2 linked regions of the Styela clava genome follow. The protein of the gene in region 2 purifies or fractionates together with the protein of the main gene of each other region. This does not show direct contact. Links are inferred from orthologs where the notes say so. Each region holds a gene or a part of one and is shown on either strand. Other genes may lie near its edges.

Evidence for each region.
Region 1: the proteins of isoleucine--tRNA ligase, cytoplasmic-like (region 2) and leucine--tRNA ligase, cytoplasmic-like purify together in Homo sapiens (affinity purification with mass spectrometry; 7 studies listed by BioGRID and IntAct, counting the BioPlex papers as one, with this or other methods). This does not show direct contact. The link is inferred for Styela clava from reciprocal best matches to the Homo sapiens genes IARS1 and LARS1.

Annotation. Positions count from the first base shown.
Region 1 is NC_135263.1:8,315,088-8,330,948, forward strand, and holds the start of leucine--tRNA ligase, cytoplasmic-like, read right to left. Parts: upstream 7,786-15,861; 5' UTR 7,633-7,785; coding exon 7,627-7,632; intron 7,287-7,626; coding exon 7,153-7,286; intron 7,078-7,152; coding exon 6,909-7,077; intron 6,685-6,908; coding exon 6,576-6,684; intron 6,444-6,575; coding exon 6,253-6,443; intron 5,773-6,252; coding exon 5,638-5,772; intron 5,188-5,637; coding exon 5,078-5,187; intron 4,819-5,077; coding exon 4,707-4,818; intron 4,185-4,706; coding exon 4,026-4,184; intron 3,780-4,025; coding exon 3,606-3,779; intron 3,238-3,605; coding exon 3,088-3,237; intron 2,738-3,087; coding exon 2,583-2,737; intron 2,281-2,582; coding exon 2,132-2,280; intron 1,750-2,131; coding exon 1,611-1,749; intron 1,390-1,610; coding exon 1,247-1,389; intron 1,025-1,246; coding exon 897-1,024; intron 397-896; coding exon 333-396; intron 1-332. UniProt on the Homo sapiens protein: Aminoacyl-tRNA synthetase that catalyzes the specific attachment of leucine to its cognate tRNA (tRNA(Leu)).
Region 2 is NC_135258.1:11,725,926-11,741,972, reverse strand, and holds the start of isoleucine--tRNA ligase, cytoplasmic-like, read left to right. Parts: upstream 1-7,997; 5' UTR 7,998-8,185; coding exon 8,186-8,304; intron 8,305-9,172; coding exon 9,173-9,329; intron 9,330-9,646; coding exon 9,647-9,766; intron 9,767-9,904; coding exon 9,905-10,096; intron 10,097-10,701; coding exon 10,702-10,851; intron 10,852-12,117; coding exon 12,118-12,273; intron 12,274-12,579; coding exon 12,580-12,675; intron 12,676-13,277; coding exon 13,278-13,400; intron 13,401-13,684; coding exon 13,685-13,875; intron 13,876-14,774; coding exon 14,775-14,975; intron 14,976-15,510; coding exon 15,511-15,634; intron 15,635-16,047. Other genes in the region: transcription initiation factor TFIID subunit 8-like, read left to right, coding at 2,737-2,875, 3,955-4,116, 5,395-5,525, 6,091-6,238, 6,723-6,820, 6,899-7,054. UniProt on the Homo sapiens protein: Catalyzes the specific attachment of an amino acid to its cognate tRNA in a 2 step reaction: the amino acid (AA) is first activated by ATP to form AA-AMP and then transferred to the acceptor end of the tRNA.

The sequences.
Region 1 (15,861 bases), on a different chromosome or scaffold from region 2:
TTTTCTAACTGTTCTTTTATTGAGTTTTGCCTTCGAGCGCACCCAGGTACTAGGAATATTAAAAAAATCAAGAACAAAAATCATAGGCCTCCAAAAATAATAATCAACAAAAGTGAAGGCGTTTCTTAATTTTATTATCTTAAGAATTGATTTGTAAGACTTGAGAAGCCATAAAATCTTCAATCTTGAAAACTTTAAAAAACATATACCACAACACAATCTCATATAAAATATGCTAGTTTGCTAAACACAATCACCGGTACTACCTCAACTTTATTATTATACTTAGGGTATTAAATACATACTTAAGAATTAATTTAACTACAACATACCATCAGCAGAATATTTTTCAACAGCTTGATACAAAGTCAAGAAATTTCCAGTCGACTTGGACATCTGAAGTCAAAAATCAAATGAAATAAGCAAAATGATGATGATACCTGGCCGAACAAGGGCCATGTAGCGGTCAAAACAGACAAATTCGAACTATCTACGGCAGAGAGATATGTGGATATCCAAATACTCAAACCATGTAAAGTGATGTTTGAAACCAACACAATATATTTTTAAACAAAGGACACTTTAAACCCAAGTGTATTTTAAGTAGCGTTTTGAGTGTGATGATTTGCATCAACTTCATAATAAAAAGATCTATTGGTAAAGTAATAGCGATAGCTATTAACATATGTACTAAAACACCAAACAGCAAGATTGAATGAAATTAACAGAATGGTAGATTTCAAGTAATACTGGTTTCAGCTTTTGATATGATACTTGCACTCCAATAATACAAAGTGAATGTGAGAATCTGCCTCATTTTTATAAAAACAACATTTTAAAATACACGGTGTAAATTTGGAGGTTAAACATTGAGCAAAGATTAGAAAAAAATGTACCTTTTCAGAATTTAACATCAGATGACCATTTGCTCGAACAGATCTTGGCCATAAATTTGGTTCCTTTGGCCATATGGCACAATGATTATACAAGAAGTATGTAAGATGATTCGGCACAAGATCTTTGCCTAAATTAAAATATGATGAGTCATATGTTCAAAATTTTTCTTAGGTTAAAAATATTTCTTCAATTGCGCTGCATGCATTTTATTCTATTGCGACCACTAAGATGGAGATAGAAAAAGGCCAGATTTCACTTACTTACTTACCGAATGTTTTCTAAAGCTGTCTCAGATTAGCAGCCAAAGAAGATATCTTGATATTAATTGAAGTAAATAAAAAGTGCTAACCTGATGTTCGCAAATCAACAGGATACCAGTATTGAAATTCACTGCGCAATTTATCCAAAGTGTCTTTGGGTATTTTTGTTTTTGGAAATGGAGTTGATTTGTAAAAAATATAATCCCAAACTTCCCTAGTCATCTGTTCTGGACTGGAAATAAAAAGGTGATAAACACAATTCCCTTCAAATACAAGGAACTCAAAGATGGAGGATAACAAAATAATTTACCATTTACATGGAATCTGATCTTATACATGAGATCCCAGAGTAAATTTGAATGGAAAATATGTTTGAAAATCATTTTATCAAATATTGAATGAATGAAATACCAAGTAAATTGGCTGAAAGATAAGCAAAAAATAATTAGAAACCTAATATTTGCAGGACTTTTCCCAGATCCATCAAAAACCCCTCCTTGTAGTAGATGAGCTACTGTATAATAAGACATGTATATTGTTGAATCAGACAAAGATTCAATTAACCATTGCTCATCCCATGGAAGACGAGTACCTAGAAAAAGTTGAATATATATTTGATTTTGAAGTATCAACTAATCAAACGGTTCCTAACCTGTGCCATATGACACACAAACAATCAAATAACGATTTAAAAATCATGTTAACTGAGAAGTATGACTGACAATATCAGACATTCACAGCATTAATATCATTTGTGTACACAGGGTGAATACCATGAAACTCTTTCCAGCCCTAAATTGATGTCGATGGAGGTAGATTTCCCAATGCATGGTGATTTGTATTATAAAAATTAAATACCTGTTTTCATTTTTTATAGTCTTTTTAGAGTCTTTAAATGACATATTTGGTATTTCGCATTTCAGTAAATTTTGAATTGAATAGTATACAGCTTTGAAAAGCATCCACATACATACCTAATCCATAGGTTCTAGAACAAGCATGCTCTTTCAACCAATCCATAGTCGCATCGAAATTTTTTCTCGTTTCATCACAATAAGTGTTCAACTTTTCCAACGATGATTTAGTTAATGATTTCCAGTTTTTCTCTCCGTAATCAAGATACCTGAATAAAGAAACTCAATCAGGCAAGTTAATATGTGTACGCAAAGTCAAGTTTTATGGAATGTGCTGATCACCTTACGTATAATAGGCCATTTTATGGATATTAACCATGTTGATCATAGAAGAAATGACCATTCAAGATGGGATTTATGGTAATTATCCCACAGTGAAAACACCACAGCCTTTCGCTCAGATACTAGTCCAGGTCATATATGGGAATAACTACGGTAGGTAGTTTCATTGCATATTATACGACAAATTAATGGAGGCTTAACTAAAGCACTTATCTAAATTTTAAATTACCATTGATCACACAAAGCAACAACACATTCGTCAGCAGATCTCGACATCACTTTTTTTTCTGGTTCCATATACAAAAGTGCTTCACCAGATTTAACCATTGCTTGTTGTATAGGTTTCTTTACGTTTTGAACTTTCTGTCCTTCATATCCTTCAACCTTTAGGAATGTAATGAAAAAAATTATTTTAAGAACATAGTCAAAACACTACAACCAGTCATCTAGTACTAGTTTTACATTAGACTGAAATTCATTAAATATACAATATTTCAACCTGATTATCAGATGCCAGAAAAATTATTATATAAAATTTTTAATATATATAAGTTATAATTGATTGAATGGATTTTCACAACTCTATCTCAAGATATAGTTAATATAGTGATTTCTCCATTTTTACACAATTTCGAAAATGACATTCAAAATCAAACAGGATTGGAAATATATATAATTCTCTATATCTTTCAATTGAAATGTCCCACAACTTTAAATCTAACACACAACCGTACCAGCATGACTCCATCATAAAATCCTTTTAAATAAACCATATCTTTTGCTTCAGCCAATTTGTCTCTGTCGTTTTGACTCAAAATCTTTAACTGCTCACAGACTTGAACAGCAGAAAGATTACTGAATCCAGGTATGTCTATGATAGGAATCTGAAAAGTTCAAAATCAGTTACCGTAGGTATTATTGAAAGGACATATTTGAAAAGGAACGTCACCAGTATTGCCTAAACAGTCCTTCTCCAAATATCAGCAGCCATTAGTGTGGATGGAAAATTATGCCAAACCTGATAAAAACCAATAATCCAGCAAGAATATGTGAATGTTAAATGTCATTGAATTAACTTGAGATCAGTACGCTTCTCAAGAATAATGACATTGAAAACTATATGTTTTTACTATATCCATATCAGAAAATCGCAGAGTAATTCTATGAGGTGCGCCTCTTGTGTGGTCCTAAAATTACTTTCAGTTCAGCTCTGCATAAATGCACAACTTCCAAATGAAACTTTGATACTCACAGGTTCAAAAGGCATCACCATTTCATCTGTAATTCCATATTTCTCTCTCAGTGGTGCTTTATTCTTCAAATCTCTCAGAGCTGCAAAATCATCAGGAGCATCAGAAGGAACACTTGTCACCACACCTGTACCTTTGTCTTCTCTTATTGTAAACATAGGAAGAGTGTAAATCACCTGGAAACAGATTGTCCACATTTAGAAGGATATAAGGCAATTTACTATTGCCTTTATATTTGATAAAAACTTGTTATTAAGATTATAGATTTTCAAATTTCATAAATGTAGGGCAAGTTGTCATAAGGCACAATATTCTAAAATATTTAAACAATTTTAGATTCAGTGTCGGCTGTCATACCTCAAGCAGTGCTTCACAATCATTACATAGCGTAATTTATTGTACAGAAATATTGGAAATTTAACCTCATATGATGTTAAAGGAGCATGCAATGCCATTCCCATAATGTCTTGTCCGATGAGTTGAGCAACAACTTCAACTGTTCCAACCTCTGTCATCAATTCTTGATACGACATATTTCTGGCTGCTCGACGAGTACTCACAAATATTTCCTCATTTTTCACCTGAAATAGAACACCAGAACAACTATTCATAAAACAGATATGGAGATTAACACTTCTCTAACCCAAAAATGAGGTCTCAACTTCGATTCATGGTCCACATGTTGGAAACATTTATTGGCAACCTATATCCATCTCGAAGAAACATCCTGATCTATATTTCTATTCCTCGAAGAAATACAGAAATAAAATAAAATGGCAACTAAACTTTAATAAAAAAGATGCAATAGTAGAAAAAAAAAACAGTAAAAAATACAAACAATCTACATAAATCCATCACAGAGAACCAAATGAGAATACAACATATTTCTTATGACTTTTAATTATTGGCCTGATATAATGCCAAAAAAACGCCTTCTAAAACTTTTAAATTGCAGAATCCAACTAATTATGTTGTTCGGCAAAAATACTTTCAAAGGCAAAGGCTGCTAGAATACAACTAACAGTTTGGATATTGAATCGGTTTGTTTGATACAACCAGGTATCAGACTTAGTAATTAAATATGATAAATATAAATTTCTCACCTTATATGCAATATATGGCATATCTGGCCTAATCCAACAATTAGTTTGACCAAACATTGTTTCGGGACGAAGTGTAGCAGCAACAAGAAACATATCTTTACCAGACAAAAATCTGAAATAAGAGAATGGAGGAGCATTAATTATAAGCATATTGATTATCATCCATTAGAATATGGGGTGATTCTGTACTGTACTCCATTTATCACAAGCTTTCTTAAGTTACCAAGTTGATACCAAAAAGATTTCTAACAAAAACCTCATCAATGTTGAAATCAACCAACATCACGTCTGACAATGTTAGTGATGGCATGAGGTCAATATTGAGGCTCATAAAGATTCGAAGACAACTCAATTCAAGTAAGAAAAATTACTTCAATTTCTCAGGATATGGTTCTAGCACTTTCATTTTGATAAGAGTATATTCTTGACAACCAACACCTTCCCCTGATTGACGATCATGGTCCATGCATGGTTGATTGTCCTGGTAAACACAAACAATCAACTTCAGAGTATCATGAAGGGGAAGTATCATCCATTATATTTTTTATATACTCAATAGCAACATTAAAAAAATGTGTTAAGTAATAGAATAAAGTAAAGACCTCTGGTCCAAACTCATACTTACCGTAACACCCCACCAAGGGTGAAATAAAATTGGATCGTCTATGCTAAAGCGGAAAAGTCAAAAACATTGTATCACCATGGGTATTAGTGTATGCTTGTGCAAAACTTAGTTTGACGCTTAAGTATGAAATCACCTCATAAAGAAAAGACGTCTATGCCCAGATAGAGGTCAATAAGGTAATTTTGGCATTAATTATTTTTGTGTCAATAAACTCTCATTTTCTTAGATGAATTCCATTTACAGATAAGCCCATATAAATAGACACTGTTTCCTAATAATACAACAATGAAAAGAAGTTTTGAATACCTTAGGTGAGAATATGGTATATCTTTTACCAAATTTAATCATTCCACGATCTTTCATAGTCAGAAACTGCCATCGTACAAACGAATCATAATATGGATTTGCATCTGTTGTAATAAAAGTTCTTCTCCAGTCGACCTTAATTGAAATAATAAGAGTATAATAATGTAACTCTTGATACTAGACACTGATCTGAAAAGATCAAAATCGAACAAATTCGTTTCATTCAACAAAGGTGAAAAAGAATCACAATTCACAACTCACAAGTTTAAGCCTATTGTCTATAATGCAAGAGTCAGTTTAGATTCCAACAGAATTGTTCGATTTCAAATTATTTCCTGTAGATTTGGCGATTTTTGTTTTACCACATATGTGGAACAAGATATGAAACTCAAAACACAATACCAAACAAAAAATAATCGAATATTTGTTTACCTTAGTTTAGGTATTTTTTGAACATGACCTAATTTAGAATAAATTAGATATTCCATATTTCAAAATATTACTTTATAATGCATTTGGTAATATTGGTAGTTTATTTGGATTTGGCTATCCCTAATCACAGCCATCACTTTATTAATTCATAATTGTTTATCTGAAAAAAACTATTGTTATTACCTTCAAACCCATGCTCTGCAAATCACTTTTAGCAAGAGGTGGAAAATACTTCAGCCAATGTTCAGGATCAGAAAAATGTTTGATTTCATCATCCTTCAATCCTAGACATTCCATAATTTGCCACTGATATTGCATTATGCCAGACTTGGCTACTGCTTTGCTTTTCTTGGCTTTAGCCTTGTCTTTAATTACTGTTAGTAAAGTTCAAATATTTTTGTACTACATGCAACTTTTAAAAGTTTTGAATTCTATTATTTTGTACACGCAAACATAACACAGATAAATGGTGAAATAGATACTAGAAATAGTAAAATAGTTCATACTTGATTCAGCCGTTTGTTTCTCACTTTTCTCACACGATTGATTAAATTCAGGAAAATTTGGTGGATAACCATACATTTCCATCTCCCTTTTGAGTTTATCTGCACAAGCCTATAAATAAATATTGATAATTTCTTTCAAATGATATAACTTGAAATTCAATTCTAAGCAACATTAAAATCGAATGAAATTTGACATAAATAACGATATCAAAAAGTATCTAGGTACACAAAATTTGAAAGTATTTAATTTCATAAAAAATGGTAAATTTAATAAAAAAAAAGTGGTGAAGTATATTTTGAATTATGAGGACCACAGTGCAATAAATCATGAACCTTGATTGGCATTCCTGTGCAATGTAGTCCGAATGGAAAAAGACATTTCTTCCCCAGCATTCTTTCGAATCCAACAGCAAACTCACATTTAGTGAGGGAAAATGTGTGACCAAGGTGCAAACGTCCATTCATGTATGGATACGGAAAGGTCACAAAATGTTTCGGCGTCCTGAAAATATAAACAGATTTCAAATGTTAAAATGAAAGTTTATTAAGCATGATGTGAATTGGCAATGTATTAAACCTTCTTTCAGATGAGTCTGGTGAAGGTGCATTTTCCTCAAAAACTTTTGCTTCATTCCATATCTTCTGGACTCTAGTCTCAATTTCTCTCAAGGCTTTGAGCTTGAAGGTTCCTTTTCTTTCCACATTGTCACTCTTGACAAACATAAAAAATTTTTTTTAAATTGATCCATTATTTTTTACATTCATGAGTTTGTCCTTACAAGACCATAATTTATTGTAAGCGGATCTATATAAACTCAGGTAACTTATCCTTGGGTTAACTTCAATCTGAAAACATAAGGCATCATGTCACCACTATAATTTAATAAAGCGAAATAAACATTGGGGTATCAGATTACTATTTATTTCCACTGGAACCACAAACAGGGAATTCCCCCTCTAGAAACTATAATTGTTCATGCTATGAATACCCACTTCATAAAATGATAAACACATATAAGAGACAAGAGAAGAGTCCAAAACTGTCGCTCACCGACATATTTGAAATAATATTTTCTTTTGAACTGCAATCTCCCAACTTGGAAAACTTTTCTTCTTTGATGTAAGTAAGGAAGAATTAAATAACTGGTTGAATACAACCAACACAATGCAGCTATATTAATATATAGAAAATAGGTAAGCTTTAAAATTAAATTGGATAAACACTGATACCAGTTATGAAAATAGCTGGTAATTACTGAAGAGACATAGTATGGGCAAAAGGGCTGTCTGTATCCCAGGATGAGTGTACTGTCTTCAAAACATTTACTGAAATATGAAAAACTTATCCTCCTATTCAGCCACTACTAGCATAAGGCAGTAAGGTGGACCACAAGAACTTGTACGGTTGAAGTATACACTGCACACTGAAAGACTGGTCTGATTAAAGAATGGAGGAACTGAAGAAATTTCAAATGCAAAAATTTGGCTTCAGAAGTGCGATACTTTGCCTAATTTAAATATTAATTACAGTAAGGTCTGAAGGTAGTTATTCTGTTATTGGTGGACCAAAATAACTCATTTGTGTTAATGTTAGGTACGGTATCATACTTTTGCCTTGTGTTTGTTTGGTACGGTAACCCAGCACATTTTGGTTAGGATAGGATAGGATTTACATATTCATCCCGGGGGAGAGGAAAGGCGATAAGACGTCTTATTCATATGGTGAACCACGGCCTCTCGTCCAGTTACCATTCCAAGTCCGGTACCGGTATGGGATTAGTTATATTGTTTGTTTGGGTCTAGTATAGTTTAGTACCACAAGTACTTCCAGTTGGCGTATCAAAACGAATTTTGCATATGTTATTCCTAACCCCCACCCGACTATGCCATCTAAAAATTACGTCAATACGGCGTCACAAACACGTCATAGGGCTTGCCAAAGTATAATTACGATCGCCCGAAATGGCATCCGCGCCGCCGATTACGAACTCGCTGACGCCGGCGATCTCTCTCCTATCGTGATCGTTATGACGGGAAAACGAGAGAAATAGCTTGCTCGATTTCGGGTGATCATCTGCGCGTTTTGGACGACCATCCGCATACTTTGGCGGGCCTTATTACGCCAATGTGACGTCGAAATGACGTAATTTTTCGGTGACGTGTCAGGTGGGGGTTGGGATTGGCATATGCAGAAATTGTTGAGCCAGGCCAACTAGAAGTGCATGTGGTACTAAACTATACCAGACCCATAATATCTATCTGTGCCAAAGTGACTACCGGTATATTTGATCTGTGCCCATCTGCCCAAGCGTGTGACAATCGTGTGTTTCCGACCTTTGACCCCAGGACGATAGGATTTACATAATTATCCCGGTGGAGAGGAGTGTTCAGTAGGGTTAGTTCGGATACCTATAATTTTTAATATCCAGATAACGGATATATCCGGGTATTTCGTATTTTAATTATCCGGTTAACCGGATAGTTACTGAAAATTGTGGAGAACCCATTTCACAAGATTTTTGCGGTGAATTGACCGAAAACCACCACACAGTTCTATTGTAAATGCGTACATGTGTATTATTTTGCTCGAACCAAAAAGGATTATGCATTTTGATGTTGCGTGTGTCAATAAATAAAAATTTAAGCTTTGTAATCGTTTTCCCCCGACTGGTAAATTATTTTCTCTTATTCAAATCATATGTAAAGATTTATATTATTCCTTACTTTATTGTTAAATTTTTTGGAAGTTTCTCTTTGTGTCTAGACTCTAGAGCAGGGGTCACCAAACTACGGCCCATTTTATCCGGCCCGCAATAACACGCAAAAATGGCTAAATATTTTTCCATGGGAGATTTCCCCGAGCATCGTCTTCCTTGTTTATTTCGTAACATTGACTAATCAGCAAGATGCAAAAAAACGTGACGTAATAATAGGCCTTTTCGCATCAGCTCAGATAACTTCTGTCTTCCTGACAGATTTCCAGTCGTGGTTGTAAACAATACTTCGTTTTTGCGACTTTGAATGCTATTCGTTAGTTTTTGGTTGTGTTTCGGAAATTCAAGTATGAATCAAATAAGTCAACTATCATTTGCATCCTTAGGAGTTGTAGTTTTAAAAGTAGTAATAAGAGTCAGACTTCCTCAGACAAGCCGCTTTAGAAAGTCTGACTCTGGTCAGACGAAACGTTACAGAAATACATTTGTGTTAGTGTGCAGCTGGACTCTTTAATTGGAGTTTATAAAAAGCGGCCAAGAAATAACGGAGATATCGGAATTTTAGTACGGCCCGACAGGGCAATTATTGTAAGGCAAGGATTGTATTACTTTTTTGATAAGAACTGTAATAAATATGAAAAAAGAACACATGTCAATCACTAATACAGTATTGAGACTATTTTAGGATTTTATTCTGGCAACGGTCATTGACACCGCCGAAAGATCGTCGCAAATAAACGCTGGAGTTGTGCATGATAGTTTAATTTGCACTACGTATTAAGGGGGAAGGAATTTTTAAAAGCGTGGAATGCTGAGAAATTTATGCGCTAATGAAAAAAATCAAATACCAGATATGTTGTTTATTTTATCTAAATTATGTCAAAATTTCATGGAATTCCAAGCTACAGCAGGCAGTCCGTAGTCGTTTTTAGCAGTAGCAGTATCCCAACACGGCGTAACAGCACTTAGCAGACGTGAAGCGTACATTATTTTGGCGCGAAATAGCCGATTTTGTAACATTCCTAATTCATGACAGCAACGTTTTGATAACAGCTAAACTCAGGATAGTTCTAAACTCTAGATATAGAAATCTTGTATATTTGTTTTCCTAGGATGTTCTTGATTTATATTCTGCGATATAAATAGAATTTATTATTCAAGTCTTCAGAAATGTAGAATTTATACTGTATTGTTAAATAAATTGAATGGATTTCCCAACTTTTGTAAATTTATTTTATTGCATTGACAAAATTATTCATCCGGCCCGTTTCAACCCAGTTTGAGTCATACCCGGCTCGCGGTCAAAAAAGTTTGGGGACCCCTGGTCTACAGCAATGGTATTTAAGCTGGGGTCGATCGAATCCTGTGGTTCGGTGGAGCTGTTCCAGGGGTTCAACAAATGACTTCTGAAACAGTTGCATATTATGGGACTTTTATGTTACCTAGCATACTAATTATGATGCACACTTTACTATAGTTCATCGCAGATATTCAGACATAAACGTTCAACAAATAGCTGTGAGTATAGCTTCGCGCAGATATAGGTTTAGTGGATTTGTCGGTGCTCTACCACCTTAGATTCGGATTCCAGTACACTTTATTAAAAGCTCATATCGTCACAGATGTCGTACGCTTGGGTGTGAGTACTTATCTATGATAGAGCTTTTAAATGCTTTCTGCTTATGGCTTCGGAATAACTTGGGATGTTATGACAAACCAAGTACTTCTGAACTTAAGATTTTGCGTGACCCCTACTCACAATCTGCGGTACTAATGAAATTTAATTCGTTTCACGAAGAAATCGAAGATTAGCATTGGATGTACATAAAAGAAAGCTTTTGTTTGCATTTAAACAGGTGATAAATTTGCGACAAAGAATACTTCATTGCAGAACTTTGCAATATGGCGCCGCGTCATATCCTATACCTATAAAATAAAAAATGCGGCATACACTTTTATCCGAACTTCAATCCAGTTTGAAGTTTGAGAAACGAATTACCTGAACTTCTAACGTTTTGAGGCATACTATAATTTTTTGGATTGGATCTTTTTATCACAGTTATTTTTATCACTTTCTTCCTTTTTATCAGTTTTTCGCCTTTCCACCCGCGTAACTTATATATAAAAAACACCGCTTTCCCTGACGCCGAAACTATTGATAAAACGATGCCTATATCCACGCGGGGTATTGGTCTTATTGGTTACACCACAATGTTCATTTTCTATTGCCTTGCATGAAATTAGCTCCCCCTCCATAAAGTTAGGATTGGGCTCCTAATTTCAACTGTTCAGTACGATGGGGCTCGACGGAAGCTTGCAGTCAGTCGCCACTCAACAAAAAAATATAAAAATCACTAATGCGCATATGCATTATTTATACTTCACTATTATCCGGTTAACCGTTACAATAATATCCGTATATCAGATAGCAAAAAAACTCTTGGTTATCCGGTTAACCGCTATCCGGATAAACAAACCCTAGTGTTCAGATTGGCTGACTCTACTGTATACTAATTTACATGTTTAAAACCATCACTTTATTTGAAATATATAAAACCACCTGCTATTCAAAAGTACCGACAGACAATGTTAGCGTATGATCGCAGCTATTCAGGAACGAACCAATTTTTGATGGACCTTTCCCCGACCTTTGACCCCTGGAATATTCTTCCCATAGAGAACTTGCACGGGTCACGTGACTTTGTTTACTGGACGGCAAAAAAAAACGTCCATTTGGCTACTGTCAGTTGCAAGTCGGATTATACGTTTCCGTTTTGTTTGGATGTTGAAAATGGTTATTTCGTATTGTTCCGTTGGCTGTACGTATAGTATAGACCAGGGCTTCCCAAACTAGGGGCCGCGAAACGAATTTTGGGGGCGGCAAAGAGAACACCAATTTCACACAAAGTACTATATTTGTTGTACTTTTTCAGACTATTGATTTGAAATACAATTATTAAAAATGGTGTAAAACAAAAATTTCACGATTATGAGTGAATACATACATCATCATATCGTGTTTCCCAAAAAATAAGACAGTGCCTTCAATTTTCTTTCGAAAATACCACTAAGGCTTATTTGTCGGGTATGTAGAGAATAACACGATTTTTAATATATCAAATGTGAATACCGATTTCCTTTTACTTATAAAATACTTATATTTTTTTTAATCATTTTTAAAATTCAGGCTTGATCTTATTTTCGGGGAAACACGGTTGAATCATCGCGCTGGCATAACAATGAATATTCTGATCGTAAGACCCGATTTGCGCGTGCTTCCATAACGATGCCGGCTTTATTCGTTAAGCTAGCGGTTCCCGAGGGCGATTCGCTAAGTGCGCCTCGATAATCAGGATATTTGTGTTAAATATTAACTAATACATGATTGAATATTTTACATATTTTGTTTATTCTGAATGTTTTATTATTTCCCATCATTGCAAATGATCTGTATATAAATCGAATTCAATTTACCGTTCTATGTTGTTCACTTTCTGTTACGTAATGTCTATTGTTACGTGAGAGAAGAGATAAAAACCCTACATGCTGCAATTTCGTAGGCTGTAGTTTATTCGTTTGCTGATCCGAGAATATCGAACATAAGAAATAAAAGTTAAACCTTTTGCCTTTATTTATTTGGCCTACATGATTATAAACCTCAAAACATAAAGTACACATTAATGATGACAAAATTGTGTTTTATATTGATGCTGCATATTTTTCGTGTAGGTGCGCCGCGAGTTTTTTCCCTGATAATTTGGCGTCGCACATTTTGATTTTGATCAACAAGAGTGAGTAACAATTCCGGATAGGAACCATGCCGGCTGGATTTGCTATGCAGCAAAAAGCATTCGCACCCATTACACTGAATAATTTAGTAACGTTTATCTGCGTAAATATGTCTTGTTTTTGTTATTGAGCAGGCCTACTAAAAGTTGAGAACTACGGTAGCTGTGTCAATAAAATAGCAAAAATGCATATTTCGAACTGTTTAACATTATTAACGTGAACAAGGGCCGCGAAAAATTTTAATATATTAAAAAGGGGTCGCGAGCTCAAAAGTTTGGAAAGCCCTGGTATAGACAACGAAATGGATCTTCATTTATATTCCACTGTTTTCAAAAGTATTGTTTCCCTAGTTAGCAGGTAATCTATTACTAAGTGTGAAAGGTTGAATAGATAACTAAAGTTTAACACCAGTGGTCATGCAAAAAATAAACCAGAATTCAATTGAATTCGCCATCTAGGAATACGCTCGCCACCGCATCTCTGATCACCCTGGTAATTTCACAGGTTCCAATCTCATGCGGGGATAGTTATGTGCGAGAGGATTGCAGCTCTACTCCCACTGAGGATATTTCACACGACCGCTGATCGGTTACGACCATCATCCAAGTCCATGCTTCTGAAAACAAATACCTGGCTAACTAATCCCAACTTAAAATGGTAACCGTACGAGAGACTGTGGTTCGCCATATGATTTAGTTATTGCACCTGCAATCCTCCCGGTCGGCGTCTTTCTCTCGCGCTCCTCTTAGGCGTATCAGGAACGGGTAAGTCAGTCTGACCCATTTGTTGTTGTTATGGTTCGTGTGTTTCAGTCATGTTCAATTTATTGAAACGCCTATTCCTCCATCATATTCGGCCACTCTGCAACTTCACAAGATAATCTCTATTTCTTCCGATTCCCATAATTGTTCCCACTCTAGTTCATTTTTTTTGTTGTGAGCTCCTGGATTCGAACGCTGGAACTAATTTTCAGAGGAGGAAGTGGTTTGGAACGTTCGTCGTAATATCTTTTGCTATACAGCCGCGCCTTTGCGGCCTTCCGGTCACATTCTTCTGCAAGTGTCTGCCATTTCCTAGCAAAGACTTTTGATGTGCTGGAACACAGGAACGTAATGGGTGTCCAAACACAATTTGTGCTGGCGAGCGGTCGTCTACCCTTGGTGTGTTGCGCCATTCTAAAAGTCCTCGCTGAAACTCCTCATCATGTATATTTCCATTAGATGTCGTTTTAGCTACGAGTGACTTCATTGCTTTAACAGCTGCCTCGGCCACTCCATTAGATTGTGGATATGTGGGCGTTGACATTACGTGATTGACGCCCCATCTGTGAAGAAATTTTTTGAAGTCACCTGAAGAAAATTGCGGACCACCATCTGTTCTCATCCGGACTGGTACACCCGTAGACGCAAAATGTTTCCTGATCGAGTGAATTACATGCCTGAAGAAGGGCTTCAAATCCTACGATGTTGAAATAGGCCATCCGGAGAGCCTATCTGTGTAAACCAAATAGCTTTTCCCAGCTTAGGAAAATAGATCAGCGGCAACCTCCTGAAATATACGCTCAGGCATAGGATCCGATATCATTGACTACTTCGGCAAACTTGGGGACATTTCTTGGCACTTATCACACGATTGGACAACGTTTTCTATATCAACACTCATTCCGGGCCAATAAATTATTTGTCTTGCACGTCTTTTCATATGAACAATGCCCTGATGCGCGTCATGAAGTCGAAGTAGAGTTTCCTTTCTTGACCCTCGGGGAACTACAATTCTGGCATTATATAATATTAAGCCGTCGTCCACACTCAAATCATTTTGTATTTTCCAAAAGGGTTGTGCAAAAAACGGTGCTTGTTCACATTTCGACGGGAACCCTTCGATGACCACTCTGATCAACTTTTGGTACTCCTGATCTTTTTCAGCAACTTCGCAAAGACATGTTAAATTTGGATCAGAAAAAACACAATCATCACCCTCATCTACGACTTCAAGTGAACCAATTTGCCAGATTTTCTTTACGCAGGTTTTCACATCTTCCTAAGCCTCTAAGTCATCTTTCGTCGAGTCATCAACTGGGGCACGCGAAAGCGCATCTGGAATCGCATGCAGTTTTCCCTTGCGCCAAACTGTAGAAAACACATATATTGAGAGTTTTTCCTTGAGACGCTGGAGGCGAGGATTTTCGACCATGTCCAACGTCTGGTGATCAAGAATTGGGACTAGCGGTTGGTGGTCTACTATCGATGTGACATGAGGTAATCCGAGTAGTAAAATTCGACATTTGTGAACGGCCCAGACATCAGCTAATAATTCTAATTCAACCATTGCATACCGTGTTTCGACGTCGCTTAAAAATCTTGAACCGCATTGTACGAGTCGCCATTTTTCTCCATGTTGTTGAAGTAGAGCATAGCCCAATCCCTTCTTGCGTGATGCATCAGTTTGTAAGACTGCGGGACGGTCAGGATAGCAGTCCAATTAAAACTGTTGCGTGTTCGTAACAGGCTACGTAAAGGGGCGGCAAAGGTGCTAAGTTCCGCTGTGAAATCTCCTAGTTGGTTCACTAGACCCATAAAACTACGCATTTCAGTGATATTAGTGGGAGTCGGAAATTCTGAAATAGCGTGAACTTTCTTGGGGTCAGCTGAAATACTATCACTTGAAATGATAAACCTCACGAATTTTACCGTGCTTGCTGCGAATACAAATTTTTCAGGGTTTAAAGGGATGTTGTTGTAGTGACATTTATATAAAAATTCCCGAATGGCACGGACTTGTTC
Region 2 (16,047 bases):
TAAATGGCTATGAGTAACTATAAAACTTTTTCCAAAATTGCTCTTTTCCAGTTTCCATTTATCAATAAACATTTCCAATCGTTTTTTTTTTAAATATCGTCACGCTAATAACCGAATTGCGTAAGTCATATTTAGCAGTTTTGAGAAAAACATAAAAAACTTCCTAATGATATTGTTATGCCATTGAGAGTCAATAATTTGTCATGGTTCAATTTTTTGATTGTTGCCGGATTTGAGTTAATTTGTATGACGCAGTTAATTAACGCACTGTGACTTAGTCAGAAATGTGTCAATGACTTGGGGACATACGCAATTTTGCAACTTTACTATATGCACCAGTCCTGGAAACTAAACATTCCAAAATCGAATGTAATTCTCAGTATCTACAATGTCTAATCCCCAAAATAGCTAATCAGTTTCAATTACATTATTTTTTATGTTTAAAAATATATATTTTATCAATATAACACGCTTTGCACACCCACCGAAATAAGACTAAGATTAAATATAAAGAATAAAACAGCAATGCACCCAATATAAAAGCCAACCAAGGTGGATTGGACTCGGACAGTAAATATCACAAGTGCACGTCTTCCTATACTGTAGTATGAATTCAAATTAATACGCGCGCCGTATGCCTGACGACGGTGAAAAATGCATAAATGCGTGGCATGCGGAACTTAGTTTCACAGAAAATGTCTAAGAGAACCTCCTGAAGTAAACCACGAAGAAGATTCGAAATGGACTTGCGACGACTGCGAATCCACAGGGATACATTTCGAAGCTTTACGAAACATTTTCATGAAGTCGTCAAAAAATGAGCCAGAGGAAACGGATAAATAAGTTTCGATATATAAAGACTTCTCAATCGTTTTTATCAAATCTAGGGAGAAAAGGTTGGGAATAATAATACACGAAATGGTTCACGCAGCTGGGGTTTTGATGCATGAAGGTGGAAGTGAACATGGACCTAAATTTCAAAAAAGAACCCGCCGTATGGTCAAACAATTAAAATATCATCAGAAGAAACTCCTTCCAGAGCTGAGACATCTGAGCATAAACTTCAAAGATATAAGCAAATAATTAAAATATGTTATGACTATAAGTGATTAGAAAAAAATATTAATAAATGACAGTTCAAATCTCTTTCCTTTATGTTATGTGTGTGGTATAATTAAACATAATATCATTTTCCACTGCTGTTGTTTTTATTTTGCATAAAGATCGAGGTTAAGAACGATATAATTGCATTCAATTCAGGATGGAGGAAAGTTGAAATCATCATGTGAATTAATCGCACATATTTATGGGAACACTCATAACTTTTTTCTAAAATGCATAGCAGATGTATTAGTAACTTCTTATGCAAAGCCTTGTTGAATGGGATGTATGGAATACCCCATAAAATTGGGGCTACATATCACCGGTCCGAGTCCCAGCAAATTCGATTGCCAAGTCAAGTCGAATTCTATTTAAAAGTCGAGTTCGACTTTATAGATTCCATAAATAATGCTAAATCCTGACTGTGCGTAATGCGCTGCTGCTAATACGGCCTCACTGTGCCTAATGCGCTGCTCTTAATGCGACCACGTATTGTGTCCAATGCGCTGCTCCTAATACGTCTTCACTGTGCTCAATGCGCTGCTCTTAATGCGGCATCACTGTGCGCAATGCGCTGCTCCTAATGCCACCACGCATTGTGCCCAATGCGCTGCTCCTAATGCGATCTCGCATTGTGCCCAATGCGCTGCGCCTAATGCGGCTTCACTGTGCCCAATGCGCTGCTCCTAATACGATCTCGCATGTGCCCAATGCGCTGCGCCTATTGCGGCTTCACTGTGCCCAATGCGCTGCTCCTAATGCGGCCTCACTGTGCCCAATGCGCTGCTCCTAATGCGATGCTCGCAACGAGCAAATTACAGTAACGTATCATCAGCCGAGTTCCAGCAAATTCGAGTACCAATTCAAGTCGAATTACTGTTGCTACTTTTTAAAAGTCGTGTCTAGCTTGTCATTATAGATTCCATAAACAATGATAAAATGGATGGATGAATTGTCAATCCTGACTGTGCGCAATGCGCTGCTCCTAATGCCACCACGCATTGTGCCCAATGCGCTGCTCCTAATGCGATATCGCATTGTGCCCAATGCGCTGCGCCTAATGCGGCTTCACTGTGCCCAATGCGCTGCTCCTAATGCGGCCTCACTGTGCGTAATGCGCTGCTCCTAATGCGCTGCGCGCAATGAGACTTTTAGGCTACCACCACTAATGGTACCGGTACCGATGTACGGTACGGTAACACTGACACCATGCCCTTCACTTTCTCAAACGTCGCCATCCCTAATCTGCTCCACAATTCGACCGCATTTTGACATCCCCAATCTGCCACTACGCTTCGACCGCATTTTGCCATCCCTAATCTGCCACCACGCTTCGACCGCATTTTGCCATCCCTAATCTGCCACCATTCGACCGCATTTCGCCATCCCTAATCTGCCACGCTTCGACCGCATTTCGCCATCCCCAATTTGACTTTTCGTCCCTATTTCGCCATCCCTAATCTGCCACTTTTCGACCGTATTTCGCCATCCCTATTCTGCCATCCCCAATATGACTTTTATGCTACCACCACTATAGGACACATTCGCCACCAAAGATACAGCAGTTTTTTCACAGCTTCCGTGGGTAGCTTTTCTTCATTTGATGTTGCAGAAATTTCGTGTTCAGTTGTTAAAATGTCTCAAGAAGGAACTGATCCATCTGTGGCATATAGACAAGGCCTTACTGCAGCCATTGGTGCAGTGTGTGTGGAAAACGGCTGCGAGTTTGTTCGAAAGTCCGCACTGGAGACATTGACAGAAATTGCACAAAGCTGTAAGTGGATTTTTGTATGTCAATGATAGATAGATAGTTAATTCTGAAAACTCCATAATACACAAAAATGAAGAATTCTGGAAAGCGAGCAAAACCTTTAAAAAAGTTTAAAACAGCACATGCACAAAAAAATTACAAAAAAAAAAAACCTGCTATAGAGAGATTTGGGCCAGACATAAACAAACAAAAATACGCTAATGTATTGAACTTCGGGCTGTTATGTAAGTAAATGCCATAAATTAAATGTCTTGAAAGGTTGGAAATATAAAATTCAATCTTTAACAAACTTAGTACACTGATACAGCAATATATAGATATATGTTGTTAATTGAGGTAATGTTCTTCTTTCCCTATTTACCAGTGGTATTGCGATTAACTGAAGATATTTACATCAAATCTAAACCATGATAAATCGATAATATTATCATAACAATGCACGTAATATACATAACAAAATGGAGTTTTGTTGAATACTATGTTTTGATCTTTCTATAATTCCAAGTGCTTTTATTTATTTTGCAAGTGAACCATTTCCAGATTTCATCATATAATTGCAATGCTAACTATATTAGCTTGTTCTTTCTACAGTTTCACATGTTTTGACAATAACCTTTATTATTGAAATTTTTTTTAATCCTGCCTAATCGATAAGCCGTGGTCGTTTTTATATTTTTATGTCAAATAATGTTCAACTTGGCAACTTATTTCTATAGTTCAACATCATTAACGTTTTCAATGGCTAATAAATCTCTCGACTGAACAAGGTTTTTGAACATCTAAGTTAGTTATTTCACAAAGAGTGATATTAATATGGCATGGTGTAGTTAGTTTTATTAGTGAGATAGGTAAAAAGCAATACATGTTGTCAATATTTGAATAATTTTACATTAAGAAGTGAATTTTACATTAAAAAAGAGATTATTCTTGACCTGTCAGACCAATTTCTCCACACATTTGTAGGGATATTGAAACTCAGTGAAATGGAATTAATCATTGCATCTAAATCAGTGTTAATGATTAGTTATTACATCAATAGAATTTGTTCAATTGAAACTGAATATGTATTTTATTCACTGAAGATTTAACAGAGATAGCCAGAAGTACTCGCCAATACTGCGAAATAGGAGGACGAAGTCTTCCAACACTTCTTGATATTCAAACTGCATTGGCTGATGCAGGATTCAAATTCAATACACTGCCTGACTTTATAAGAAATAAGCGAAGAGTTTCCATTGGTGAAGGTCAGTTAGTTATTTTTCAACTTATTCAAAAATGTTCAAACTCTTTTTTCGGTTTCATACAAAAGGTTTATGATTGTGGAGTAGGTGAATTTGAGTGGGAGTGGTGATTCGTCTACGGCCCATTGAAATGGGCCGCGGCCCATCAAGTTGTGTAATGGGATGAAATAATAAAGACTAATAAATATGTAAATCCTACCCACTTCCCGAACTTATAATAGAACTATAATGTGAAAAATCTGAACAAAGTTTTGTCCTAATTTCCTAACCTGGTACACATACTTCAGGTGTATCCTTTTCTGTAGCTTAGTATTTTGCTTTATTTTTGGACACGTAGTGGACATAGCGATCATTTCAATATTATGTTGTTGTTGTTCTCACTGTTGTTCTTTGACACGTTTTGAAGAAATCGCTTTTCTCTTCGAATACTGGACCAATTGCTTTGAAATTTTTAGTGGTTGAAGATAAAATTTTTCTCCAGAAGGCTATTACTTTTTTTTCACTACGACGTCATTAAAATTATTCCCACTAGGTGGCGCTACGTGTCCATATATTTGAGCATAGCTATCTTGTTATGTAAAGGCTTATCGCAAGAAAAAGGTTTGATGGCATCCCGCGATTTTTTTTTGTTCGAATATTGACAATTTTGTAAGAATTGAAAATTTTGGTAGGACAATTGAATTTTTTCTGATGGGCCGCCACGGACCATGTGGCCCAATTAGATGGGCCGTGGCCCCGGCCCATGGGCCTTAAAGGAGTCACCACCCCTGTAGGTGAATTTGGTATGTCTTTGTTATTCATTTGCTTCTGACTTTTTATATTTCAACACTTATATGATTTGTATATTTGAATTTTTCATATGAATATATCTCTCAAAGCAAGGTAACTAATTATGACCCAAAAATGAATAAATTGCTGAAAGAAATATGTAAATTTATTGGAAGAAAGGAAAAATTGTGCAACACAGAATTATGGTTTGGACCAGTCATATTGAAAATTCTTTTTGAAAAAAAAATTACCCAGTTAATTTGTTAATTTAAGTAGCAGAGTGTTCGAATTTCAAAATGTCTTTCTTTCTAAACATCGTTCACATAACATAACAAATTGCTGAAATTTATTTGCTAACCATTGCGGGATTAACGATATAGAAAGTGTACAATTAATCATTCAATTATCGATCACTACATTTTTAGGTTATTGAATAGACTACTTCATCACCTGAATGAAGTATTAAAGTCTGAAGTCTCACAAAGTATTAAAGTCTTATTTATATGTTTATAGTTTCCAAGACAACATCTTCACAAAATCCAAATGTTCTTCTTGTTGGTGAACGAAGAAACTTTCCAACACATATTCCGGAAAATTCTACTTATCCTAAATTTCCAGATCCTCATACTTATGTTAGGACATTGGTAAGAATACTTTTTTGTAATGATATTGCTAAACACCAAGGCGTGTGCACATTTGAGTAGAGAATCAATCTTTGAGATAATCATTGATTTAAACAACCTGCGATTTGCTAATTGAAATTCTCAAACTTTATAGCAAGTACAAGAAGATTATTCAAAATTAGCCCTCAGAAATTTTCCAAATTTTTTTGGATTTAGTTAGCTATTCTTGGCTATCTGGATTACAAATTTTGTTGATAAAAGTTAGATTTTCTGACTATTGTAATTATATCATAATGATATGGATGATATTGGTATTATTGTTCATCTTGTAAACCATAAGTACAGAGCATTTCAAAATACATAATACTGAATATAAAATATATGCTACTATTTTGTGTAGGTTTAAAGATTTATTGGAAGTTACTAATTTATTGTTTGTAGAAGTTGGTGACTCAATATGCCGAAATGTCGTTTTAGTTTTTTGAATTTGTTCTGTGAATGCATGATTAAAGGGTGTTATTGTCATGACATCTAGTTATCTGAATTTTCTGTTTTCTGGTTATAGTTTACCTTTCTGTTTGTATAGACAGGACAAGAACCTGAAAATAATTATGGTCTATTGCGAGAAAGGGGTTCATCACAGAGATGGGATGTTGAAAGAGCTCTTACAAGATTCATTGCAAAGACTGGTTCAAGTCATGCACTACTTCCTGATGACAAATCTGCTTTTCCATGTAATTTTACTCCCTTTAATCACCTCAGTAGATTTTGTTTTCTTAGAAAATCAGTCCTGATTTCCTGAGAATAATCATTAAAATGTGTAATGATGTCATGAACTATGGTTTCTCACCTGGGAGCATTATAAGGATATGTTTTACTTTAACATTTCATTTGGATAGATTAAGCTGTGATCTACTTGCTACATGAAGAACCTTTATGTTTTCAAAGTGACAACAATAATCTCTAATGTCTAATATTATCATCCACCTACAGATTTAAACCAGAGTCCCCATACGTTCCAACCATCGTGAACATAATTATTATTGCATGAATTTTGAATGTGCATCATTAGCTATCATGAAGTGGATGTCTATGTAAATTGGATTAATGGTTTTTCCAGTCGAGAACTCACATGGACAAATAGTTATATACTTTTTCATTGAGTGACATAGCTGTACAACTTTGTTCGCCTTAACTGCTATTTTTTGTATTGAATAGTGATTGCTGCAGTTCCTCCTGCAATTCCGTACTTATCTGCTCTGCTGCCTTGTGAGAATGACTTGGCTGAGAAATTAGAAAAAGAAGCAGCTGCTGAGGTATAAAAACGATTTTAATCAAGTCATAAAAATATTATTTTTAATTTTGACCTATTCGTGGAATTTCAAATTTTGCAGAATAATGCAGGAAAACAAAATGTACGACAAAACAAATCATCTAGCCAGAAAAGGGTAGCTGATGATTCCAAGTCGAATGAGAGGACTCCTGATAATATTGATAATCCGTACCTACGGCCAGCAAAAACACCTAAATTGAAGAAGAGTAGAAGATGATACTACCTATTACTAATGGCAATTTTTCCTAAAGAGGAAGGAGATAAAATTCTGTCAATGAAGTATTGAGCCAAGAGGCTTTTGTGTGTAGACTCCAATTGTTCGATGCTGTTAAACGACAGCAATTCTTAAAACAATCCAAAAACTACAAAATGTTATAAGGATATTTTCTCACTTTATAGAGATATGCTCCATTGGTTTGATATAAAGTTGTGTGCCTGACAAATTATTCAAAATGTTTACGCTTAACCATTGTCGAGTACAAGCCCAAGTCAATTCACAGCAGAGTTGCAAGTCTAGCTAGAGATGGTAGATTTCATATGCAACATTTTAGTGAATAATAAAGCCAACAATGATCCTCACCGCTTCGCCACGTTCTTGTACAGAAAATTTATTAGATCCCAGTATCAGAAACATAAATTTTCAATCCGCATTTGATAGTGTTATAGCTGTACATGAGGTGGTCGGTGCCTGTTATTTGCATTTTTGATACAAGATATTCGTAAAATTTAATAAAGTTTTCATGAATTGCAAAGGTTGTTCTGTGATTATTAGGACAGCAGCTTTCGTTCAAAAGTATTGAGATCGGATTTTCATTCTTTGGGTCAGGGAGTCGTTTTTAAAAAGCTTAGCACGGTGACCGCAAGCCCGTGCTTGGTTTTGCAATCATTCGGGGCGGGAATAGCAAGTGAGTTAGGTAGATGTTCCAAACGGATGGATACAATATGCCGCTGGTAAACACATTCTGTGAGGGATGATTCTTGACATTACGCACAACCATACATATGCTTTATATTTGTACTTTTTAATTTTGGATTTTTTGTCTGTTTATGTAAAATTAAAATTTTAGTTGACTCAAAAATGATATCTTATTTTGAATAGCAATTCTATTAATCCGTTAGAGTCGTAGCAAAAGCTACAGGGCGGGCCGGTATGTGGCAACGGCCTTTTTCGTCCACGGCGTCACGTTTCATCATGCTAGGTGTGTTGGGGGCGTTTGTTCATCGTGTAGCAGTTTCGAATATCCAGTCTTCGTCGCAGTTGGCGTTTTACGGTTTTCTGTCTGCTGTTGTAAGATTGCTTGGTGTTCACTAAGCCGGCACTCGAGTGGGATTATTCGACGATCGGAAAATGGTTGAGGCGGTCCCCGAACATATTAATTTCCCAGCGGAGGAAGAGAAAATTCTAAAGTTTTGGAATGAACATGATTGTTTCCAAAATTCATTGAAACAATCTAAAGGAAAGCCGAGGTAAAACGCTTTTGTATTTTTTGTCACTTTGAAATTAGTACCCTACATGTGTGTGTTGGGTACTCTAGTGTAAATGTTCTATATTAAAGTGTAAGCACAAGTTTTCGTTACCGATAAACTGATATATATGGTAATGCTGTTATGTGACCTGAATTGTGGGATCTAAGGATTACCTTTTTTTTAAACATAAAAATTATACCGCAATTATTGATTACTGTAAATTTAATATTAAAACATTTTTAGTGTGATTTTCAGAACATGTTTTAATATGATTTTTTTAGGACTAGTGAAGTAAAAGCCGTGGCTGCTTAAATAACGCCTAACAAAAATGTGATTCAAAATATACGTCGTAACTACTCCAAATAAGGCCAAACAAAAAAATGAGATTTTATGTGATGTCAAAATTTTAATTTAATTAAAAAAAAGTCTTATGATGCAGGAAGAAATTCTTACCAAACCTACTCAATTTCAACTAGTCAGGTATGTCTCATGCCGTTTAAGATATTGTGGTTGCACAAGAGGGACTCTTATTTATAAAAAAAACGGGATTTGTGTTATATTTCCACATCACATTTTTGTTTGGTGTTAATTAAGCTCATACAGCATTCAAATTCACACCACATTTGTGTTTGGTTTTATTTAAACCGTTACAGCGTTTACTTGGCGAGACCCGATTTTTTTCATTCTAAATAGGAGATACCGTACATTAGAACCTCATCAAAGGTGTTGTTTAACTCTAAAGAACCATAGTATACTATTCAATCAAGTGTAAAACAGCAAAGTTGGTACTCTTTGCCTATTCATCTTTGAATGGTTTCTAGTGACGAAACAATGGTTCAAAAATTGATCATAATGCTTGTCTTTGTAGATATGCTTTCTATGATGGACCTCCATTTGCTACGGGACTTCCTCATTATGGTCATATTCTTGCTGGTACCATAAAGGACATTGTGACGAGATATGCTCACCATAGCGGGTTTCATGTTGATCGAAGATTTGGATGGGATTGTCATGGTCTTCCTGTGGTAGGTTTTATGTAACTTCTACAATCTCAGTTAACATCGACATTCTATTTTACTTGTAATCGCTAACAATAGCATGTTCATTTCTGAACATTATTGGTTTTGCTTTCTTGAATGGTAAATGATGGCACCCCAGTCTGGTTGTGGGGAGTTTTAGGGCTTTCTGTACTTCGATTAATTGTTTGGTATTTTTAAAATTCAAAAAAATTATAAATTTCCAAGAAAAAATATGCTTTTTTGAAAACATTCGGTTTGAATTAAAGTCCTTGGACATGGCTAGTTGTTTTCAATTTTTATTCGAATGTGACTTTTTTGTTCAGGAATACGAGATTGACAAGACTCTCGGTATTAAAGGACCAGAAGATGTTGCAAAAATGGGAATCGCGGAATACAATAAACAATGTCGATCTATTGTCATGAGATATTCTGCTGATTGGGAGGTAATTGGGTTTTTTATTAATAGAATTACAGTATTGTTGAAAATGAAAGTGCTAGCAGCATATTAGATGAATGTAGTGGCAATATCAGTATGTTATTCCAAATTTTTTATCATTATCAGTTTTTCATTTTCAATTTAGAACATCGTGAATCGTTTGGGACGCTGGATTGATTTTAAGAACGATTACAAGACTTTATATCCATGGTTTATGGAAAGTGTTTGGTGGGTTTTCAAACAACTTTACGACAAAGGTTTTGTTTACAAAGGCTTCAAAGTAATGCCATATTCAACGGGTTGTCATACTCCACTATCAAATTTCGAAGCCAGTCAGGTATGTGAATATTTCCTTGTCATTTATAAGTTCATTTTTGTACATTGACATTTTGTGGCTAAATACGTACGTATACGTATTGTATACATATACGTATACAATACGTATATGCAATACAATCACGTTTACGTTGTGATTCACAAATCACTCAATAAAAACCATATACGAAGTATACGAACATGATATTTTATAGTTTGATATTAGTTTTCATGACATTCGTAGTGATTGCACCATTATTGATCATTCTTTCAGAAGTGAAAAATGATTTCATCATTTTATAATTTATCTTGTTAAGCAATGCAATTTTGTTGTAAAATTAGAGCATAAAGTAAATACTTTATATTTTTAGAATGTGTGTCACATATTTACTCTGACAAATGTTTTCATTTAAACCACTACAATACTACAACTACAATAAACGAGTCTGAATGTAGAGATCTCAAATACTGAATTTATTAGGACTACCCTAATTTAAAAGGCTTGGCATCAAGTTTTCCCACCTTGTGCTAAAGTATAGCTGTATCATTAATAAACCTATAGTATTACAAATTTACAATTACTATAATATAGCATAGAATAATATGTTTTAAATTTATATTCTACAGAATTACAAGGACACTATTGATCCAGCTGTCATTATCAATTTTCCTCTTGATGAAGATCCAAAAGTGAAAATGATTGCGTGGACAACAACTCCATGGACTTTGCCGAGCAATCTCGCTCTCTGTGTTCATCCAGATATGGATTACGTTAAGGTATGTTCAGGGTGACCCCCGAAAACCCTGTACCCTGAAGTTTATGTATTGCTTCTATGAAAATTAAGGAAATTTATTCAATACTTCTATTTGTGTATGATTGCACTCAAAAATTTCAGTTAGTTGAAGAGCTTTGCACGAAAGTTATGTTTTCTTTTGAACATGTTCCAAATGACCCAAGTTTTTGTCAATTTTAGGGGTCGTGTTGTATCGCTATCAATTTTGATTTTCTTATTCCAGTCAAAGACTAATATTCTTTATCTTTAGTTTCGGTCAAAACAATGTTTTTACTAGCGAAAGAGGAACATAGTTTCTTCGAAATGAAAATGTCAAACCACCAATCGTCTTGTTCCTCTTTTGCTGATATTCAATGGTTTTGTGGGTTTTTAAACTATTTCAATACCTGTCTACGTGACTAAATAAGTACATAAAGATGCGTCCTCATTTTGAATGATGCAACACTAAAGCATACAAGGAATGTTTTATGGTTAAAATTCCCCTCTACTGAAAATATACTTTCTCAAATTGACCGCAGATAAGAGATTTATCAAGCCCAAATATATTTGAACAGACTTTATCCCAATGTTGTAGAGCATTATTAACTAGATGGAACATGGGACATTGGTATCTATATTTTCTAAATAAATCCAATACTTGAATAGAAAACATGAAACCCTTCATGTCTGATCTTCATTATAAGATTTTTAATTCACTTTAGTGAAGTCTGTTTTCCGACTTCAGCTTTCCACAGGTTATTGTGATTTGTGCCTCAAGGCTGATGTAATGCAATATATCTAATGCAAAAAGGTCGACGGGGCTTGGCACATCATGCTAGACATTAGAAAAACATTTGCCATCGCTCCTCTATTTACCTTGAGTGGGTTCGCCGGTTTGAATCCTGCGGGGATTATTATATGCGAGAGACAACTATATAATATTTCTCTCATCGCAGAGTGGTTGCTCCACCTTTTACCATACCGGAGGAGGATTGGTAACCAATAGCCCATGGTATGCTATCTTGTCAAATGAAAAAATTTTTTTACCAATTTTACTGCATCTAATTTGCTGTTTGTATGGGCATGCTAAGATTAGGGGTAAAATAACCCTATACAAGTTTGGATAGAAATAAGATTTTATCATTTAGCGCATTAGGTGGAAATTACATAATATAGCTTAATCGAGTTCTAGGGCGCAGTCTATTTAACTATCGAGGAAATTTGTTATTTGCCCAAATTTTTCATCAATAATTTATTTGAATTTCTTCAGGTCCGAGATACAAAAACAGAAGAGATTTACATCCTTATGAAAAATCGTCTTATTTCATTGTATAAAGAAGAAACTGAATATGAAATTCTTGATACTTTCAAAGGGAAAACTCTTTTTGGTAAAGGATATCAACCTCTCTTTCCATATTTTGCTCAAGTGAGTTGAAGCTCCGAATATAAGATAATTTTGTACGTTTTTAATGATTGTTTCCTCAGAATATGCATAGCACAAGTCAAGAAGTTACAATTTTCTTACTAACCTTATGTCTTACAGTGTACTCAGTAGTGATAGCAAGTCGGTCTTAGACATTTAACTTAATGAGGCAATCGTAATCATTTTCTGTTATTGGGTTAATGTCATTGAGTTTCATCAGATTTTTTTTACAAATAATTCTTCATAGTCTGAACTTGATTTTCGATTTTTATGTATTACATCTGTATTCTTGTATATTATTATGTACAGATGAAAAGCACAGGAGCATTCCGTATCATGTGTGATACATATGTAACTGATGATAGTGGTACAGGAGTCGTTCATCAAGCTCCTTTCTTTGGAGCGGTAAGTTTACAAGTCATTTTACAATCTTGTCTATGTCTTTTAGAAACACATTCTAGAGAACTTACTTTCTTTCTCGTGCCATCAAAATGTTATCAAATTTTATTATTTTTTGAAGGAATATGACCATTCCGCCGAGGAGATAGATTCGAAAAATTATATTATTTGAATCTATCTCCTTGACGGAATGGTCATCACTGACCAACCATGACACTCTTCACTAATCGTCGACTTGACCTCAGTTCTTCGCCATCATGCTCATATGAATCTTTTTCAGCCTGAGTTTTAAAGAAATTTGAGCCTGATATGATCAAAAAAGCTTCGTTCTTCATTTCATACTTTCTCATTTCCTAAAAGCCGTTATGCTTATTGTCATTCGGTATATTTAAACAATACTGTTGTTCCTATCTTGTAATTGCTATAAACTACTTATCTGAGGAATTCTGACTTTCCTCAGATAAGATGTTACAGAATAAAATTTGTGAAATTCCCAATCACCAAGTATCTATCTGGCTAGATCTGAGTGGTTTGAAATAGTCCAGCTAGAATAGATGCTAACCTCTCTTTTAATGGTGTATTAATTCTCAAATTTACCAACAATTTAGGATGATTATCGCATCTGTACAAGCAATGGAATAGTGGCAAAGGATGGACTTCCAGTTTGTCCTGTGGATGCTAGTGGAAAGTTTACTGATGAAGTGAAGGATTTTGCTGGAGTATATGTGAAGGTTATATGATTTCCTCTTGAATATTGATTCGTTATTGTTGACAAGGTTTACCGAGTGATAGGCCATTTTATTATTGCGCCTTCCATTATAGCAGACGAGGTTGTGAGTCATTGTTTTCATTGAATATCGTTCACTAAGTTACAGAAATTGATACCAAAATTGTATATAAATCATGGAATATCTTATCTAAGATCAAATGTCTTATCTAAGATTAGATAAGGTAATCAGTTTGGCTTGTGATAAAGGTTAAAAAACAAAAATTGAAATATCAATACCAATTCCAGGATGCTGATAAACTTATCTGCCGTCATCTGAAAGGAACAAACAGACTTGTTCACCAAAGCACAACAAAACATAACTATCCTTTCTGTTGGAGATCTGAAACTCCTCTTCTTTACAAAGCTGTACCAAGCTGGTTCATTAGAGTGGAAAATATTACAAAGCAATTATTGGAGAACAATGCTAAGACATATTGGTAAGTCATAGTTTTATAACCTGTTCAGCAAGCTAAACATTAGAAATACGCTCGCCATCACAACTCTGATTACACTGCTTGAGTTTGCAGGTTCAAATCCTATTGGGGATATCTATGTGCAAAACATTGCTTTGCACATCCTTGCTGTTTTAGGGTTGGTCATGTAACTGCTAGTTAAATATTGATAGCTTCAATCTGGAAACAAACAATCATCCAACTGAAACCATATTCGACATGGAGCGATAACCAGACATAGGCCGTGGTGGTTAATCCATCTTTCAGCTTTTCCCTCCCTTGGGATAAATATGAAAATATTATCATGAATTGCCAATGAAATGTGATGCAAAGTGAAGTTTTTTTTATTTTGTGAGTATTATTGAAATATTTATTGGTTATCTTGGTTAGCTCGAAGAAAAAAGGTGCCAGACGACATACTCTTATGACAAGTTATCAGTTTTTCTAGTTACAAGACTAGGTGGAAGTAGCTAATTGTTGTGGATGCATTGACCGAATGGTGGAAGAAAAAATTATGCGAACCATGGTCATTTTATGAGGTGTTTTCATACCTTCTCTTCGAAGGCCAGTGACTACGTAATTAGATACTGATTTTGATGGATTGGAGCCTTTCAGTCCATTGCTAACCTGCAACATAGGCATCGTACAACATAATTATCTACCATTTTTGATGAATTGAAATCTTTCCAGTCGATTCCATTGCTAATCCAATTACAACACGGGTAGCGAAGTCAGCTTCTGAGATTGAACCAGAAATTTTTGACCTGTGACACCAACATAGCTTAGGCCGACCACTCTCACTACTCAGAAATGCGATACATAAGAAAAATAATATGTCACTTTCAGCTATTTAATTTCACATTATAATTTTCTCTCCATTTCAGGGTTCCTAATTTTGTCAAAGAAAAACGTTTTGCAAACTGGCTTCGGGATGCTCATGACTGGGCCGTTTCTCGTAATAGATATTGGGGTACTCCAATACCATTGTGGGTCAGCGAGGATTTCGAAGAAATCGTTTGCATCGGGTCCATAGAGGAATTGGAACAATTATCTGGGGTCAAAGTCACTGATCTTCATAGAGAAAGGTATTTTAGAGTAATGATGTTTTTATTTTGTCGTATGTCAACGAGTCGTGAGTTGAACATAATTAATTAATATGGCAAGGCATTCTTAATGCTTCTATTGGACAGGGATTGCATATTTTATGCAACAGAAAAATCAGTATTCTCAGAAGAATCACCTCTTTTAATAGGTGGTTTCAGAAGCCATTGCAGGCGAATCTCCGATTTTGAATTTGAAACTTCGGTTCTGAAATGGCTATGCCCCCTGCATTTAGCATATTAACATTTATCTGTGTCATAATTTACTTATAATTTAGTTCAAGCTTTTGAAATCTTGCTTCTTTTGTTAATCATTATCTGATCTTCATCATTCGTTTATAATTATTTGACAAGTTCAACATTATGTATATACATGAAAATTCACAAATTTTTTGCTTTTTAGAGAGCCTTTATTTTTTTTAGCGGATAATCCTTTTGTTTCTGTTTTTAACTACTGTCAATCTTCTGTTTCTTATTGTCTGTCAATTTTCCAACTTCATGCTTTGCTATTTCTCTTTAGTGTTGATGGCATCACTATACCATCACGCCTTGGAAAAGGAGTTTTACGTCGTATATCCGAAGTATTTGATTGCTGGTTTGAAAGTGGATCTATGCCTTATGCTCAAATGCATTATCCATTTGAGGTATGCTATTATTTTTCCTCAATGCCTTAAAGTTCTGTTTCCTCAATGCCTTAAGATTCTGTCCTGGAACTTGATTCACTGGACTGGGCAAGGAAAAGCTTAATAATATATGCATGCATTTAATAAATACAACATATGAGGTGGGTATTTTCGAATACCTGATGATTTCTGAATTGAATCAAAAAATTTTACTCAATCTAATCGAATCTCGAATACTTGGAAAAGGGTAACTGTATGTATTAACTTTTTTATCGCCATATGTCCTTCATACACATAAATTACTGAAAACATAGAATCTATTACTTAGACAAATTGCTGAGTTGTCACCCACAATAAGAAACAGATTTTATCAATATCTCACTAGTAGAAAAAATGTCATACGACAAGATTGCATTTTAAGAATATGGTTGCAA